4 linked regions of the Arabidopsis thaliana genome follow. The protein of the gene in region 3 interacts with the protein of the main gene of each other region in a pairwise test. Each region holds a gene or a part of one and is shown on either strand. Other genes may lie near its edges. The genes, in order: AT2G32650, AT1G49850, AT1G05410 and RECA3.

Region 1 (3,300 bases), on a different chromosome or scaffold from region 3:
TGGAATTATGTCTTTGTTAAAGGTTGGAACGATGTGCTTGATGCTAACAAGTCGAATTCGTTTAAGGAAAAAGACGTCTTTCCTCTCTGGTCTTTCCGATCTGGAACAGGCAAACTCTGTTTTGCTCTCACCCCAAAAATTCCAGCAACGGCTCTACTTCAGGAGAATCTGGCAGTGGCGGCGATGGTGCTTCTACTTGAGGTGAATCTGGTCAGGTACCGTTACCCATTCCTTCGGCAGTAGATTCTAGCCACTCTGGCCAAGGCTGTTCAGGAGAGAGCAGCTCTAGTTCTTCCTAATCATAACTCTGCTTATTGCTTAAGCCACAAGTAAAACGGATTTAGTTTTCAGGCAAATCTGGCTTGGTTTTCTTTCTTTTTTTTGTTCAGTTGATGAAATAGTGGGGTTTTGTCCAAATATGATGTTTTGATTTGAGTTTCTTTCTTTATGTTTGATTTTTTTTTATCTCTCTCTGATGCTGCCTATGTTTACTTATGATTAGCATTGAAAATGCAGAACAAAGGAGAGAGAACTTGTTTTCTTATATTATCACAAAAAGATCCATCAGGCTACAACAACACACAACAAGTGTAAAGTTTCTTGGCTCTACTAAAAACTCAAAAGTCTAAGTTGGATCAATCATCACCATAGGCCTTGAAACAATACCGCTCAATATAAGGAGCGTTAAAGAAAAGATCAGCTTCCAACCATTTCGGATACCGAACAAGATCTCCAGCTAAAAACTGCATATACCTCTTGCTTCCTTCGGGAACTACTCGAACCTCTCCTTGTTCAATGTAAACCAACTGATCCACCTGCCAATCCCATGGCAATTTGCATTTCCCTGTCTTCCAAACTGACCATCTCGAAACCCCGAGTTCCTCCAACCGTTTCTGTGAAACTTTCCGTTCCACTTTAACATTGTATAGCTCCTCTAATGGTTTCTCTGTCTGCATACAAGTCACCTTAAAGGCTCTCTGAACAGACAGGTTATTTGTCTTCTTACATGCAGTGACAGAACCTGGGAATGGTGTAGTCATTATCAGACTTGCCATGGCTGCTTCTATCCAATCTTGTGAAACCTGAGATCCACAATGAACTTTAAATAACACATATCGAAATTCTTTGTGATGTGTTAAAGTCTTGTAACTCCTGAAACAGAGAAAGAAGGTGAATTTCTAAACTCTAGTGTGTAAAAGTGAATTATATTGTAAAGCTGAAGGCTTTATCATTTACTCTCTTTGCAATAGCTTATATGAATCAATGACACAGCGTAACACAAAAACTCACAATTCAGGAAATTAGCTAATGCCCATTTGCTATTTCGATTGGAAAAGTGAAAACTCATCGCAAAATTGAAGATATACGAATTTAACCCAACAAGTCCGCAAAAAAAGGTTGTCGATTTCAAAACCAAAAAAAAAAGCGGAAGACAGATTATACGCATCGAAATCGAATTTCTTACCAGCGGAAGTGTGAGTGAGAGTAACCCTTAAACCCTGAAGCAGTCAGGCTTATCCGATCCCCGATTTGATGAATCAGTAAAAAAGAAGAAGAGGATATAATAAATATTACAGAAACGATACTAACATTTAGATTTGTTTTAATTTTAGAACAGAAGTTTGTTTTGAGTTAATGTAACCCAAAATGTTTTTGTTTTGTAAGACTGTAAACGTGTCACATTCTCTGACACATTGCACAATCTTTCCAGTTTTCTCTTCACAAGTTTTATCTCTGTTTATCAAAAGTTCGCTCTTGGTTTTATAGCATTTGTTTTGGAACTCATTGTCATGGTGGTTCTGCAAATTCATCAGTTCAATGGGTTCGTTAGTTCCGTATCAAGGGCTCAGACAAACCAAGGAAGAAGGAGAGCTTCGACGACAGTGTGCGTTCAAACACAATTGGCTCCCTCTCTTACACAGGTCAAGCTTTCTGCTCAATTACGCATCCTCTGGGGGGAAATGAGAAAAAGTTGTGAACTTTATCAGGATTAGAGATGATTTTGTGGTCTGCATTGTGATGAAAGTTTGCTCTTGATAACTGATAATTGATTTTCATTGCACAGGAAAAGAAATTTTCATCGCTTTTGTTCTTTCTTAGTTGTTTTAGTATTTGAATCTTGAGAGCCTTTAAGCGAGATTGCATAAGCATGTTTAACTTCACGATGAGTTGTTTTTAGCTGAGTATGAGTTCAATCATTTCGATATGCAGAAGATAATGGAGAGTATTTCAGTTGGTGGAGAAGCTGGAGGTGCTGGTGGTGCTTACTCTTATAATGCCTTGAAGAGACTTGACAATATTTGGTCCAACATATGTACTCAACCAACAGGTAATAAGAACAATAGTCTTTTGGTAACCATTCAGATAATTAAGAAATATGCTTCTCTTGGTGATGAATGTTAGTCTTTGCAGGACCACAAGAAACTCAGCAAATTGTTTCTAGGGTATCTGGTTTTTCTCAAGATTATAGTATGGGGAATAATCTCGTTGGAACCTTTGACATAGTGGTTTGTGGGGGTACTTTGGGGATTTTTCTAGCCACGGCTCTATGTGCCAAGGGTTTAAGAGTCGCTGTGGTGGAGAGAAATGCAATCAAAGGGGTAAAGCTTCTAGTTAATGCTGTGGTTGAGGTCTGGTTGGAGAAGCTATTGTTAAAGCTTTTTGGTTTTGTGGTGATTTAGAGAGATCAAGAATGGAATATCTCAAGAAAAGAGATGAAAGAACTGACTGAAGTCAGAGTTTTAACCGAAGATGAGATCGAAGAAGTAATTGCTGCAAAGTTCAATCCGGTAAAGCTTCTCTTCAGTAAGCAATATCTTGATGCTTTATAAAAGTCATGTAGCTTAAGGTTATCTTGAACAAATGCAGAACAGATGTGGATTTGAGAATCTTGGTGATATATGGGTTGAAGATATTCTTAACCTCGGCGTTTCGTGAGTCCTGTCTTCTCTTATTCTCTAATACATAGGAAAAGAATAATCCCCTTGTGTTCTGCTACTTTCTGAAAGTGATGATTTGTTTGTTTTTTCGTTTTGTATGTTAAAACAGCCCAGCCAAACTTGTGGAAACTGTAAAACAACGTTTCATTTCTCTTGGTGGAGTCATTTTAGAAGACTCCAGCCTCTCGAGCATCGTCATCTACAATGATTTAGCTGTGAGTTATCTGGCGTTTTCTCCAAAAACATTGTACCTAAGAAGAGTATTCAGCTTATTGATATGAATTGTTTGAACATTTTGATTGACAGGTTATGCAACTTTCTAAAGGTGACACATTATCTTCCCGTCTCGTTATTGATGCCA
Region 2 (4,019 bases), about 17 Mb from region 3:
TTTCTTTGTCGCCTTCAATATTATTGAGTAAGGTGATGGGATTTATTTGCAGCAAGAGAAGGAGAATTGCTGCTTAAATGTTGAATTTGTCTCATATTTTTCTAGCAAGTCAAAATTTCAATCTATGGAAAGTTAATTGTTAGCAAGTGAAGCTCTCTTATCTTCTTCAGCTTTCGTTGATTTTAAACTGAACTAAACCGTTTTAAGTTGGTTGAATTTGAATCATATAGGTTTTAATGTTGTCGAAGACATGAAATTGATGTGATAGAAAAAGAAAGGCAGGACATTCTTAATGTATGTATTGTTAATTTTAGTGGTTAGAGAGTGAGGTGTGTTAGGTACCCAATAGAGAAAGTGATGGTTAGGAGCAAATAAATGGGATTTTATGAAAGGAATTGAAGATGATGATCATGAATTTATGAAGAAAGGGGTCCATTTTGATATGCTTTTGTAGCAAAAAATAGCTTTTTGTGCACAACTGTCTTCTCCTTTTAGCCTTAACTTTGTTTTAAAGTTCTCTTTTTTTTGGCATAACTTTCTTTTAAAGTTGTTATAAATTGATTGAATCTTTTGATATTAGACTTCAATATATGTAACGTACATGGATGTATGATAATGACAACGTTTTGGAAGAGGAAGCAAAGCTTTAAAGTAGTATCACCAGATTGAGACAATCAAAATTTCTGAAAATGAAAACGTTAAGTTGTTGAGCTATAACCTCAAAGCATAACCAAATTGTCGGATCAAGATTTGGATTTGGAAAAAGTCTCTTTCATATAACCAACAAGACATTAAAAGAGAGATCACAGTGAATAAAACTAAAAAGATTCACACCATACGATATCAACGCTTGAACTGCCTAATGGCACAACAAAAACCATTACAAACATGTGACAGTAAAAAAAACACTCATGGGCGACAAAACTCAGAAGATCGTTTTAAGGATGTCTATAGCAAGAAGAAGAGAAGATGTGTATGGCTATGGCCTAATGGTTAGGCAAAGATTCTATTTACAAGTTTCTATTCCTTTGCTATGGCTCTACGGCAACAAGGACAATCTCCACAAGCTCTAAGCCAAGGGTTTAAGCAAGAAGAATGGAAACTATGGGTACAGGGTAAGGATATTAGCATGTCACCTTTAGTGAAACTCTCTAAACATATGCTACAATCTCTCATCTCGGATTTAACCTCGGCTGAGCTAAAAGTTTGCCGGTGTAAACAGTTAATAGCATCTTGAGTAAGACCTTGTGGTTTCTTGTTGCATTCATAGGTCACTTGAAGCCCTGCTAGTTGAAAAATTGGATCTCCATCTATAGAATGAAATGAAGACTCCCTTTGATCATCCAATGAAACTCTGTTGCTTCGACTGAATCAGAAAAACAAAGTTGAAACAAATCCGTAACCAAATTTTGAAAAAGAGGCTTCAAAGAAGATATTAAAGAATACACAAAGCAACAATAATCCACAAAAACTGATTTTTACACTAAGTCTTGACCAATCCTCACAAGAAACAAGAGCAAAATCAAAACATGCTTCAAAGAATCTTGATCAGACAAAAGCAATTATTTTTAAAGAAATCTAAAATCAGACTAGAGTGCAGATCAAGTAAAGCTGTAAAATTTATCAGTGGGTTAAGCACAGACCTGTTACTAGACAAAGAAACACCTCTCAATCTTTCGAAAAGTCTATCCCTTGCAAGCAGAACAGCTCCAGGAAGCCTCTCGGATCCATTTAGGTTAACAAAGCTGCTACTCTGAGTTTCAGTATCAGTACTATCCGTATTTAAATACTGACTAGTGCCTTGAACATCACGAATAGGTCTACTACGTTCCTGAATCTGTAAATTAGGGGAGATTTTAGTAAAAAGGACCAAATTCAGACAACTACTGAAATTAGTAATTACTAATTTGGTGGAAAGTAACTAACCGGATGGTGAAAGAAGCGTCGGAGACGGGGAGTGGGTCGCCGGAGAGGATCACAGCCGTCGGAATCATGACGCTGATTATGATGATGGACGCCGTGACGGCGATGATGATGGTGTGAGTGGTGTCGATAGGAAGAAGTGTCGGATTCTAAAGCCGGGTCGGATCGACCCGGACGTGATCTTCGTGTAGAGAAGAGTTCCGATGCGCTCGTCATGCACCGATCAATCACCAAATTCGTTTATATGATCTGAAACTAAGTGCAGCGAGTCAGAGACGATGAGATAAGGAGGACAGAGAGAGAGAAGAGAGAAAATTGCGAGGAAAAAGTAAAGGGAAACTGCAGTGAAAAGGTGACGTCATCTCCCACTTGCTGTCGGAGCTAAGACAAAACATCTTTAAAAACGGTGTCGCTGTAATAAAAAACTAAGGGGAAAAGCCCAATTATTGGGCCTATCCAAGTAAAGTCCACTAATACATAGGTCCCAAGAAAACGGGGAGAGCATTATGAAACACTAAACTGAATAAATGGAGAAATTGACGGAAAAAAAGGGAAAAAATGTTGTTTAATATACCAACTTTCAAAAAGTGGCCATTTAAACTATGAACTCCATATATGGCCAAATAAAACTTAGTAAAAGCGTTGATCGGCCATTTTATATATTCCAAAACATTGATCCGGCCAAAAACCCTGCGACGTTAGCAGTCGTTAATAGAGTCGATAATAGGCGTTAGCAGACGTTAATTAATCCGTTTAAACACAAACGACGTCGTTTTGTGTTTAATCGAAACCAACAAAATTCCCAATTCGATTCTCAATCCCTAAAATCCCCAATTCCAATTCTCATGCCCTAAAATTCCCAAATTCAAAAATCTTCAAAAGCCTCTCCATTTTTGTTCGTTTGAAGATTTTTGTGTTTAAACGGATTAATTAACGCCTGCTAACGCCTGTTATCGACTCTGTTAACGACTGCTAACGTCGCAGGATTTTTGGCCTGGTCAACGTTTTGAGATGTATAAAATGGTCGGTCAACGCTTTTACTAAGTTTTATTTGGCCATATATGGAGTTCATGGTTTAAATGGCCACTTTTTGAAAGTTGGTGTATTAAACAACATTTTTCCCGAAAAAAAATGAATAAATGGAGAAACTATTGATTAGTTAGTTGCTTAACTCAAATCTAATTGTTAATGTACTAGTTGCAGTATACAAGTTGGTTCTAGATAAAATTTTCCTCTTTTAATTTTGTTTTTTTATTGCCACTTTGTTAATTAACTCATTTATTAGTTGTTATTTAGTTGCTTTCACCCTTTATCAAACGATTGGAGCATAGTTTCACATAAATTTCCGATTTGGTTAAACAAACTCTCCGATTTAGTTCATCGAATTCGCAGATGTGAGCACCGTCGGTGTAGATGATGATGATCACGGCGGATAAGAGACGAGCTTCTTTGGTTTTCTTCTACTTAATGATCTAGATGACGGTTGATGATGATCGATTCGTAATCATCATCGGATTTTACGAGAGAAAAGAGAAAAAAAATACACGGGAAAAAAAATTAATGTTCTTTCCTCACATTACCGAACCTATGAAACATGATAGGTATGGGCCTCTTTCCAAACAAAAAATGTTCTTAGCTAAAGTGAGTTCCATCCACTTCATCACATTTTTTCTTTAAATGTTGGCTTTTTTCTAAGGGCTTCAGACCACCGTTAACGATAGTTGTTTAATAGAATTCTTAACAATTAAAAAAATAAAAATAATTAAAAGTTAAAAAAAGAGAGAGAATGAGAAATTCCAAAAACTCTTAGCTAAGAGACGATATCACAAACCCAAAGACACGTTCATCTTTATTATTGGTCTATCTATATAAAATATTTAAAATATAACTGTAAAATTAAAATATTATTATTTTTATCCTTTTATAAATTTTCATAGCATACTGGCGTTGAGGATGGTCTCACCTCTCTAGAGCTCATCTAGAATCACCGTTGGAGGTTGTCTGAGTTTCCTAAGAAAGCGGGAGATCATTATAATTATGAAACACTAAAATTTTATAAATGGAGCAATTATTGATTAGTTAGTTTACTTAACTCA
Region 3 (4,707 bases):
TTTCAATTAATTAAATACAATAAGAGGGTAATTTACGAGTTTTTGTCGTATATAGTATAAGGTAAAATGACTCAAAAAGCAAATCTTGATGGTAATCGAAACTTTAAACATGAAAAAGCGCCTACGCGTAAAGTATTTGTTTTTTTTCTTAGATTTGATAGAAGGGAAATAAGGTTATATACGGACATGCAAATATTTATATGTTTTCTCCATTATCAACATATACAAATTATATGAGTAAACTTCAACAATATAATCCAAAATTGTACTGTTTATCTTTATATTTTCACGCTTTTTTTTTCTTAATGTCATAGGCAAAAATTCTGCGGGGAGAGCAAAACCTTTATTGTTTAGTAAATAATTTTCTTCAATTCATTTACGAACTCTAGACATAATAAATAAATTAACGCCAAATAAGAGGAATTATTGTCCTTGCAAATATATACAGCAAGAACTCACGAGGAGGCAATGTTTGGACTAACCTAAACTGGCCATCTCATGACTCAAAGACGAAAGATCGATGTTTGTGCAAAGTACACTGACTCACTTCACTTCTCATTGATCAATCTTAACTAATATTTGTTCTCTTCCCTTTTTCAGTTTATCTTAGACCATTGTTTCTCCTAGCAACAAATTCACCGAATGATCATGTCGCGATTAGTTTTGGGATAAAATCATAAAATTGCTTCTCATCAAGAATTGCTCCGCAAAATCAATGTTCAAGCAGATTACTAGACCAAAATTTATGATCGAGTAGTCCGAATATAATCTTTTGCATTTAAAGCCTCTAAAATTTACAAATATCTAACCAATGTTACAACATGGCATGTACCTAGTACAAGCTACTAGGTTACAACTTCAGAGCGAAGAATTAAAAAATGAGAATCCTATATTAATGAATATTCTCGCTTGAGAAATCTATGCATGACAACTTTCTATCATCAACAATAATAATTAGATTTGATCAATCTCTGTCGACGAGAACCCGCCAAAAGTGGTGACTGAGAGACATGTCACACAACATCGCCCTATTTATACGTAGAAATATCGATCTATATATATATATATACTAGATCGACAATAATATGGTAAGTTTTTTTATTTTAAATATGGTAAGTAATAAATGCTTGTAATACGAAAGGCCTTTATGCTCTACTCATTGTTTGGTGTATAAAAAAAAAATGGAATCAAGGTGTCAGATATGATGGTACAGCAATTTTTAGCCCCACACGTTGTCATTTTTCTTTGGAAGGTACATTGAGATCAATTTCTATTTTTGTATTATTTTGAAATCATCATATAGTTTCATTGGATTTATCACAAGAGGAATCTTATAAAAATGCGAATGGGTATATCTATCTCTCTTTCAATATCTATGTCACACAAGTGTTGTTGCTATATTGTAGGGACATGTCAAAACTTGTCGACAAAAGCTCCATGAATGGGAAACATTGACATCAAGATACAAAATCACATGATTCTTCAACTTGTGAAAGTTTTCGAGTGTGAACATCAGACTCACATAAAACTCCATTGTAGATATCTCTTGTCATAAGACACTGTCACATTCAATATCGTTTTCAAACTCTCCAAAATACTGCCTGATTGCAATGTTACAATTTTGTCATGGACCCACCAATCCCTGTGAACCAAGCCGGTTACTGTTTATTACTCCGACCCGACCCGGGCTTTTTAAAGATAGGCCCAAGAAGGCCCAATGATTGAAATGTGAAATGTTTGATACATTGATGTTTTTGATCTTCGCTCAAACCCTACAATAAAACTTTGGTTCCTCCGAATTTCGAGTTCTTGTTCTTCCCAAGGCCCCTACTTCGGCCCTAGCATCAACCATTGTCGTTTTAAAGCTCCAGGTTTTCATGGCCAAGAAAGAAGTAACTATCGTTGAGATCTTCTGAAATTAATCAGTCTTGAAGTCTCTGGAGATTGTACGTTTCTCTTCTTCCTTTCCTCGTCGGTTTTAATGGATTCCGTTTGCCTGATTTGCAGTTTCTGCTTCACCGTGAAATCGAAACTCGTTTTGCTCTTAAACAAATATTATGCATGCGTTTCAATTTGGGTCTTTTTCTTGACAATATTGGTTCTGTTTGGATTAAGAAATTGAAAATTAGTTTTGTAGCTGAGCCTTTTCTCTTGTGTGTATAGGAACTGAGCTATATCAGTAGTGTATCTAGCATATTTGATTAATGTTCCTTCATGTTGTTCTTATTGAAGCTGCTTCCATTGGTTTTGTGATTGAGTGCAGGTCTTATAACATGGACTCCATGGATATTGATCAAAGTAACATAGGTGAATCGCCTCACCTTCTGCTGAGACCAGTAAGTCCATTGGAATCTGGTGAAGGTTTACCTTATGCTCCTGAGAATTGGCCTAATCCTGGAGATACTTGGCATTGGAAGGTTGGACCGAGAATTAGCGGTAAAGGCTACTTCGTGGATAGATACTTATATCCTCCTAAGTATCTTCCCGGTTTAGATACTGAAATATTGCGGAAAAATAAGGTGTTTAGGAGCAGGCTCTCGCTCCAACGATATATTCGTGTACACTTCCCTGAAGCGGATGTTCAAAAGTTCTTTGCTTCTTTCAGCTGGAGCATACCCTGCAGAGATGGTCAAGGTTCAATTTACTCTATATGATGCTTTACTCAAATATATACAATTCCAGTAGACTTACTATGTTTTTCCTTATGCTTCTCTCATCGCATGTTTCTGTTAGTTCTTCTTAACCATATGAATTACGTTTCAACATTCTGAACAAGTTACTGATTTCTTGGCATGGTGATTTGTTCTCTGTTTGACAGGTGTTTTGCCTCAGAAGCAGGTTCAGTTACCAGTGTATAGCTCAGATGAAGATCCAATGCGTGATGATGGATCTGATACTGCGGTCTGTAAGGCTGGTAATGAAAAATGCCGGAGCCTGATGCCACAGTGCGAAGCCGAGACTTTACCTGCTATGCCTTGTGACATTTGCTGCGGTGAACGTAAGTTCTGCGTTGATTGCTGTTGCATCCTTTGCTGCAAGTTAATAAGTTTGGAGCATGGAGGCTATAGCTATATCAAATGTGAAGCTGTGGTTTCCGAGGGTCACATATGTGGACATGTTGCTCATATGAACTGTGCTCTTCGAGCTTATCTGGCTGGAACCATTGGAGGCAGCATGGGATTGGATACTGAATACTACTGCAGGCGATGTGACGCCAAAAAGGACTTGTTTCCACATGTCAACAAGTTTCTAGAAATATGTCAGACTGTAGAATATCAAGGCGACGTGGAGAAGATCCTGAATCTCGGTATTTGTATCTTGCGGGGAGCACAAAGAGACAATGCTAAGGAGCTATTAAATTGTATCGAATCAACAGTCATCAAGGTATAATATACTTTGTAAAATGTAATGTTTACTGGACGTTCCTGAAACTAAAGCCAACTCTTTTCAGCTTAAATGTGGCACGAGCTTGGAAGATCTCTGGAATGATGATACACCAACTATATGGTCAGGTACATATCCCTTAATCACGATCCTTTGCTTTGACTTGAATATGTATTGAAGTTGATTTATTGTTCATTATAACAGATTATCTTCATTCTGGTTGTAGATTACTCCGACAGTGGAGAAGCTAGAGAAAATGATACATTGCAAAGTTTACAGGACGTGACTCCAATTGGGCCCATACCATTCAACCATGAGGCTGAGATGCACAAACTCGAAGAAGAAATCGGCGAGGTTCTAAGAGCGCTGAGAAAGGCTCAGGAATTTGAGTACCAAATTGCAGAAGGCAAACTTCATGCTCAGAAAGAATGTCTGAGTGATCTGTATAGGCAGCTCGAGAAGGAGAAGTCAGAGCTGTCGAGGCGAGTATCAGGTACAGATGCGAATAGCTTGATGACGAATGTGCTGAAGAGATTGGATCAGATTAGAAAAGAAGTCACAAAGCTTAAAGAAATGGAAGAAGTAGCCAAGGGATTTGGTAGGACACCTAGAGGGGTTCTTGAAGAGTACTTTCATCTAAACATCGAGGACTAAGATTTATATAAGCACATCCATAATTGTACATTCGTTATGACGTTTGTTTTGTAAGTTTTTGATTCTTCCTCGTAAATCTGAGTTTTGGATGGTCATTTGTTTATTCATTAATCAATTTACGAGTAACAAATGCACAAAAGGTACAATGAAAAGGTCTTCTCCTTCATAAATTGAGATTTAAAATGACAATTATGGAATTAAAAACTTGGAGCCATCAATTAGCTAAATGGCCTTAAAGAGATACAAAAACATAATATGATCAACTTTGGTTGCCACCCCTAGTAGCATTCTCCGGACAAGAATCAAGAGGAGGCTCACCTTTGGGGTTAGTAAAGCGTTGACGCTGCGAGGAAAAAGACAGACGGGGTCAAATTTAGGCAAAGAAAAGAACAACTGAGAAAGAGAGAATATAGTTAAACAAGTGGCAAGGATGCTTAAATTACCTTGAGTTCATGTTCTCGAGTAGAGAGATGCGTGATGAAATTATCAACGCCTTGGCCAGCAATACCTGGGCCACAAATACGACGGCACACAGAGCAAATCCAGGAGGCAGGTCCAGGCGTTTCACTGCAGCTATCCTCCTCCTCCTCAAGTGGCCCTGGATCAGCTAGAAGAAAGTTTTTCCAGAGGGTGGAGGAGGCTTCTCGAGGAGACTCAAGTGGAAACGGG
Region 4 (4,628 bases), on a different chromosome or scaffold from region 3:
GTGGAGCGGGAAGATGACGAACATCCACTCACTCTTCTCTACAACACACCGGTGCAAAGTTCATATGTGATGTTTGTGAAGAAGATATGTCGGAAAAACTTTGGGTTTATTACTGCAAAGAGTGTGATTATGTAACTAGCTAGGCTTTCGATACATTTAAAACGTAATGTCGACCCAGTGAAGCATCCATCAAAAAAGCAAGGAGAAGTGCAATTTCGCCGTTGCATGCATATACACTCCACATTGTTAGAAACACCTACATTATGCTCGGAGACGCAGGAACAATCAATATTTAGGGATTTCTATATCTTTTCAGTCTTTATTTAGTACTTTTTATAAAGCGAAGAAGAAGCTCCCATTTATTTTTCGTAAACGCTTTGGACTAGGGTTAACGACGTTTTCCTCGTAAGATTGAACACAATATTCGGGATACGACTAAATAATGTAACAGTTTTTAATTAAAAAAATATTATTATCTCACATTAATGAAGTTGAATGGATCCTATTGGACATTACCGCTTAGCCTTGTTGTTTCCTCTTTTCGTTTTTATCTCCCAAATAGCAGTTTGTGTGTTAGTCTCTACGGCATTATGAAGGAGGAGCACAACTTTACAAGGGTCGAGAACTTGTCAATAGCACAAGACTCCACCTAGCTTTCATATCTTCTTACTCTTACGTACCAGACGTTTCGGGCCATCTAATTAATCATATGATATTCCGCAAATAAAAACAAACTAATACATTAAAATGATGATAATTAACACCAAAACCAATCGCCAAAAAATTTAAGAAAATAGCACCAACAACTTCATAATTCTTCTTCGTCATGAATCTCGTGGTCGAACTTTTTAGGTCTGTAAAGAGTACGCGGTCTCCTCCATATACCTACAAAATAAAGTAATTATAAAAAGCTTACAAGTTTAAAGATGTGCCAACAAATCAATGAACTTACTACTGTGATAATCTGGAGTATTACCTATTTCCATCACTCTATCATCACATTTTGATTTTGGTATGCAAGCAGGATCCACACCGCTTCGCTGGTTATCACCAGTTAGTGTACGTAAGTCAAACGTAATGAAGCGTCTGCTTTGGAAAACCTCGGAATTATGTGTTGGATATGTTTTCATGCTTAGGATACGATTCAATATTAATGAAGCGTCCACCAAAAGCAAGAGAACCAACAATTTCATTATTGAATTTGCACTCCACATTCTTAGACCTTTAGGTTATGCTCCACGCATGAACAATCTTAATTTAGGGATTTATCTTCTCAGATTTATTATTATATAGAAAAATAAAATCTTATTTGAGCAAAATGTTCGGGATAAGACTAAAGTTACACACAAAAAAAAAAAAAAAAAAAAAAAAAAAAAGACTAAAGTTACACCTCCCTTAAATTGTTACCTCTTTTCCGGTCCTCATATCAAACCGTTAAATTAGATTCCATTAGCCATGAACCGATCGGTTTAATACGGTTTTCGATTTTTATGTATCCACTTCTGGTTCAGGTCTTACCTCTTAAGGACAATGACCATGGCGGAAACTGGAGATCGTTAGTAGAAAAGGAGAAGACACAACTGTGGAATTGAAACTGAACAGCGAAGGAGGAGCCGCTTGAAGAAGAACGGGGCATGGGTCGACTCTCATGGGCCAGTCCGATTCAGAGATTCCGTTTCTTCTCTTACTTATCTCAGGTTCTCTTCGTCTCTAATGTTTCTCAACAATTCTTAGCTTGAGTATAAGAAAGAAAGATTTTATTTTTCAGATGAAGAAATTAGGACAACACTCCAACCAAAATAAAGTTATCTCCTTTAGAGTAGCATTGATGATTTGCCCAAGCTCCTGACTAAACAAATGTCTCTTGTGTTTACTCTTATCTTGCTTTGTAGCTGAATGGAAGAAGAAGCGTTTTGGCTTGCTCTGGCTATGAAAATCGTTATCTTTCGTCTTTAGGTAATCACTAATTTCCTTTGTCTTTTGATTTCCATACTCTGTATCCTGTCTTTATGAGTGTGTTTCGTTTGGTCAGTTGAAGCTTCAGATTGTGAACTTGATGAAGTTCCAGATGATAGAAAAGTAGCGGAGAAAGACACTGCTCTACATTTAGCATTGTCACAGCTTTCAGGTGATTTTGATAAAGACTCTAAGTTGTCATTGCAGCGGTTTTACAGAAAAAGGAGAGTTTCTGTGATATCCACGGGTTCCCTCAACCTTGATCTAGCTCTTGGAGTTGGAGGATTGCCAAAGGTTGTTGTTAATTTAGAGTCTCAGATAGGACTAGCCAAGCTAAAGGTATTGCAATTAATGAGGTCTCTAAATGTGTGTTTACAAGAGAACTTTGTTGGTTTTTGTGTAGGGAAGAATGGTTGAGGTTTACGGAAAAGAAGCATCTGGAAAGACAACTCTAGCTCTGCATATCATCAAGGAAGCTCAAAAGCTTGGAGGTACTGTTCTTGAATCCCATTCTCAATACATTTGTTTGAACAGAAACCTTGGGACTTGTTACTAGAATCCATCCTAAGTTGGGGACACATATCTTCTACTTTTTCCTTTCTTGTTTCTAGTGCGATAAGTAAGATTCGATTTTGTGAAGTTACAGTTTGATTCTGACTTGCTTTTGTTCTTCACTCCATTAGCTTTTTATTTATCTAAAAGACTTGTTTGTGCCAGGTTATTGCGCTTATCTTGATGCAGAGAATGCCATGGATCCTTCTCTAGCAGAATCAATAGGTGTGAACACAGAAGAGCTTCTGATATCACGACCTAGTTCTGCTGAAAAGATGCTAAATATTGTTGATGTGCTGACCAAGAGTGGGTCAGTAGACGTAATTGTGGTAGACAGTGTGAGTTCTCATTCTTTCATCTCAATATGTTCATATATTCTTTCTGCATCTGTTAATATTAAAAGTGGAATCTACAGGTTGCTGCTCTTGCCCCTCAATGTGAACTTGATGCTCCTGTAGGAGAAAGATACAGAGACACACAATCAAGAATAATGACACAGGCGCTCAGAAAAATCCATTACTCAGTTGGCTATTCTCAGACACTGATCGTTTTTCTTAATCAGGTAAAGGAAATATCACGGTTTACTTTCTTTTGCTCACTTAGTTGGATCGTATTGACCCACCTACCAAAGATAATATCTCTCTGCTTATTTACCTGATCCAGGTCAGATCACATGTGAAATCTAACATGCATTTCCCGCACGCCGAAGAAGTGACTTGTGGAGGAAACGCATTACCGTTTCATGCAGCTATACGTCTCAAAATGATAAGAACCGGGCTAATAAAGACTGCCAATAAGGTATAGTTAGGCACATTGTTACCATTGTACGTGTTACTGTAAGCTTGATTTGCCTTAATCTCTAAAATAATGCATAATTTCTGCGAAGGGCAGTAACATCTTTATTATCATTTGATTGCTTTGTTTCCTCAGATAAGTGGTCTCAATGTCTGCGTCCAAGTGGTGAAGAATAAACTGGCGCCCGGAAAGAAGAAATCTGAATTGGGGATTCACTTTGGTCATGGTTTCTACGTGGAGCGAGAGGTATTAGAATTGGCTTGTGAGCATGGAGTTATCTTAAGAGAAGGAACTAGCTATTTCATTGAAGGCGAGGTCATTGAAGGGAAAGACGCAGCTGAGAAGTATCTGGTGGAAAATAAAGAGGCTCTCGATACTGTCGTTGCAATCCTGAGGAACCAGCTCTTCAAGATGTGACAGAGGGAATGTATTTCGAGTTCTCCAAACAAATGTGTATGTTTCGATAAAGCCAAAAACCAATTGAGCTTTTCATCAACCCTGACGTCCCTATTAAACAACGTGGAAGGGACAGAAGCAGTTAGGGAATGCTAACTAAAAGGAGGATCAGAGAAGATGTGCAAAAGCTGGTTGTCATTAGATGATATCATCATAGTCATTGTTCTTGTTAGAGATTCTCCATCATGTATACTGCAGAGATTCCGGTTTCCTTAATGGGTTTGAACCGTTTTATCAAGCATTCTTTCCTTTTGTCTTGAACCAATCATCAGTTCATTTATTGGCTTATGGAAAGCAGTTTTTCTTGTCACTTAACAAGTTTACAGTGACCAAACCTACCAACAACTATAGGCACTATTACTTCTACAAAGTTTGACATATGTGATAAATAGACTAATCATATGTTAGGTTAACTTCACTGTGGACAGATCCATCTTCCATCCTAATCCAGGTCTTAATACGAAAGGGCATTTCAGAAATCTCCAAAATCCTTGATCCCCTTGGCCAATTTCCATATCCACCATAACCTGTGTGTCTCGCAAAGCAAAGCCAGAGTTTATCTTTGTACGGACAGCACCAGTCTAGTCCATGGTTGTGTCCTACAAACACTGCCTACTTACACAAAAATATAGTTCATTAAAGTTATATCAAACCAGTATCTAAGTGTTAAGCAATTTCGTGTTTAATAATTAGTACCTTAACGGAGGATCTGTTCTCAAGAACTCTCATCATCCCATTTTCAGCTTCTTGAGCAACAACTTTCTCTTTGTTGATTGATCCAACGCAAGGTTTTGTTATCCATAACCTTGGAGCTACTTTCTTGTATGCTTTACTAGGTATGTGCCAAAATATCAACTCCGGGATCCTGC

What was found.
Region 1: the proteins of AT1G05410 (region 3) and AT2G32650 interact in a two-hybrid assay, tested with the Arabidopsis thaliana proteins (one large-scale study listed by BioGRID).
Region 2: the proteins of AT1G05410 (region 3) and AT1G49850 interact in a two-hybrid assay, tested with the Arabidopsis thaliana proteins (one large-scale study listed by BioGRID).
Region 4: the proteins of AT1G05410 (region 3) and RECA3 interact in a two-hybrid assay, tested with the Arabidopsis thaliana proteins (one large-scale study listed by BioGRID).

Annotation. Positions count from the first base shown.
Region 1 is NC_003071.7:13,849,302-13,852,601, reverse strand, and holds AT2G32650 (RmlC-like cupins superfamily protein), read right to left. Parts: upstream 1,614-3,300; 5' UTR 1,466-1,613; exon of another isoform or gene 1,231-1,465; intron 1,083-1,230; 5' UTR 1,056-1,082; coding exon 636-1,055; 3' UTR 614-635; downstream 1-613. Other genes in the region: AT2G32645 (B3 domain protein, putative (DUF313)), read left to right, coding at 1-215, 517-613; AT2G32640 (Lycopene beta/epsilon cyclase protein), read left to right, coding at 1,791-1,922, 2,212-2,329, 2,413-2,600, 2,682-2,789, 2,869-2,933, 3,049-3,154, 3,246-3,300.
Region 2 is NC_003070.9:18,454,306-18,458,324, forward strand, and holds AT1G49850 (RING/U-box superfamily protein), read right to left. Parts: upstream 2,315-4,019; 5' UTR 2,140-2,314; coding exon 1,927-2,139; intron 1,838-1,926; coding exon 1,644-1,837; intron 1,367-1,643; coding exon 1,021-1,366; 3' UTR 539-1,020; downstream 1-538. UniProt on the Arabidopsis thaliana protein: Probable E3 ubiquitin-protein ligase that may possess E3 ubiquitin ligase activity in vitro.
Region 3 is NC_003070.9:1,584,835-1,589,541, reverse strand, and holds AT1G05410 (CDPK adapter, putative (DUF1423)), read left to right. Parts: upstream 1-1,747; 5' UTR 1,748-1,946; intron 1,947-2,263; 5' UTR 2,264-2,273; coding exon 2,274-2,634; intron 2,635-2,818; coding exon 2,819-3,384; intron 3,385-3,451; coding exon 3,452-3,512; intron 3,513-3,610; coding exon 3,611-4,038; 3' UTR 4,039-4,171; downstream 4,172-4,707. Other genes in the region: AT1G05400 (uncharacterized protein), read right to left, coding at 4,298-4,381, 4,482-4,707.
Region 4 is NC_003074.8:3,133,350-3,137,977, forward strand, and holds RECA3 (RECA homolog 3), read left to right. Parts: upstream 1-1,523; 5' UTR 1,524-1,634; coding exon 1,635-1,697; intron 1,698-1,892; coding exon 1,893-1,956; intron 1,957-2,032; coding exon 2,033-2,250; intron 2,251-2,359; coding exon 2,360-2,447; intron 2,448-2,673; coding exon 2,674-2,846; intron 2,847-2,923; coding exon 2,924-3,070; intron 3,071-3,171; coding exon 3,172-3,306; intron 3,307-3,438; coding exon 3,439-3,720; 3' UTR 3,721-4,068; downstream 4,069-4,628. Other genes in the region: PAP16 (purple acid phosphatase 16), read right to left, coding at 4,153-4,371, 4,456-4,624.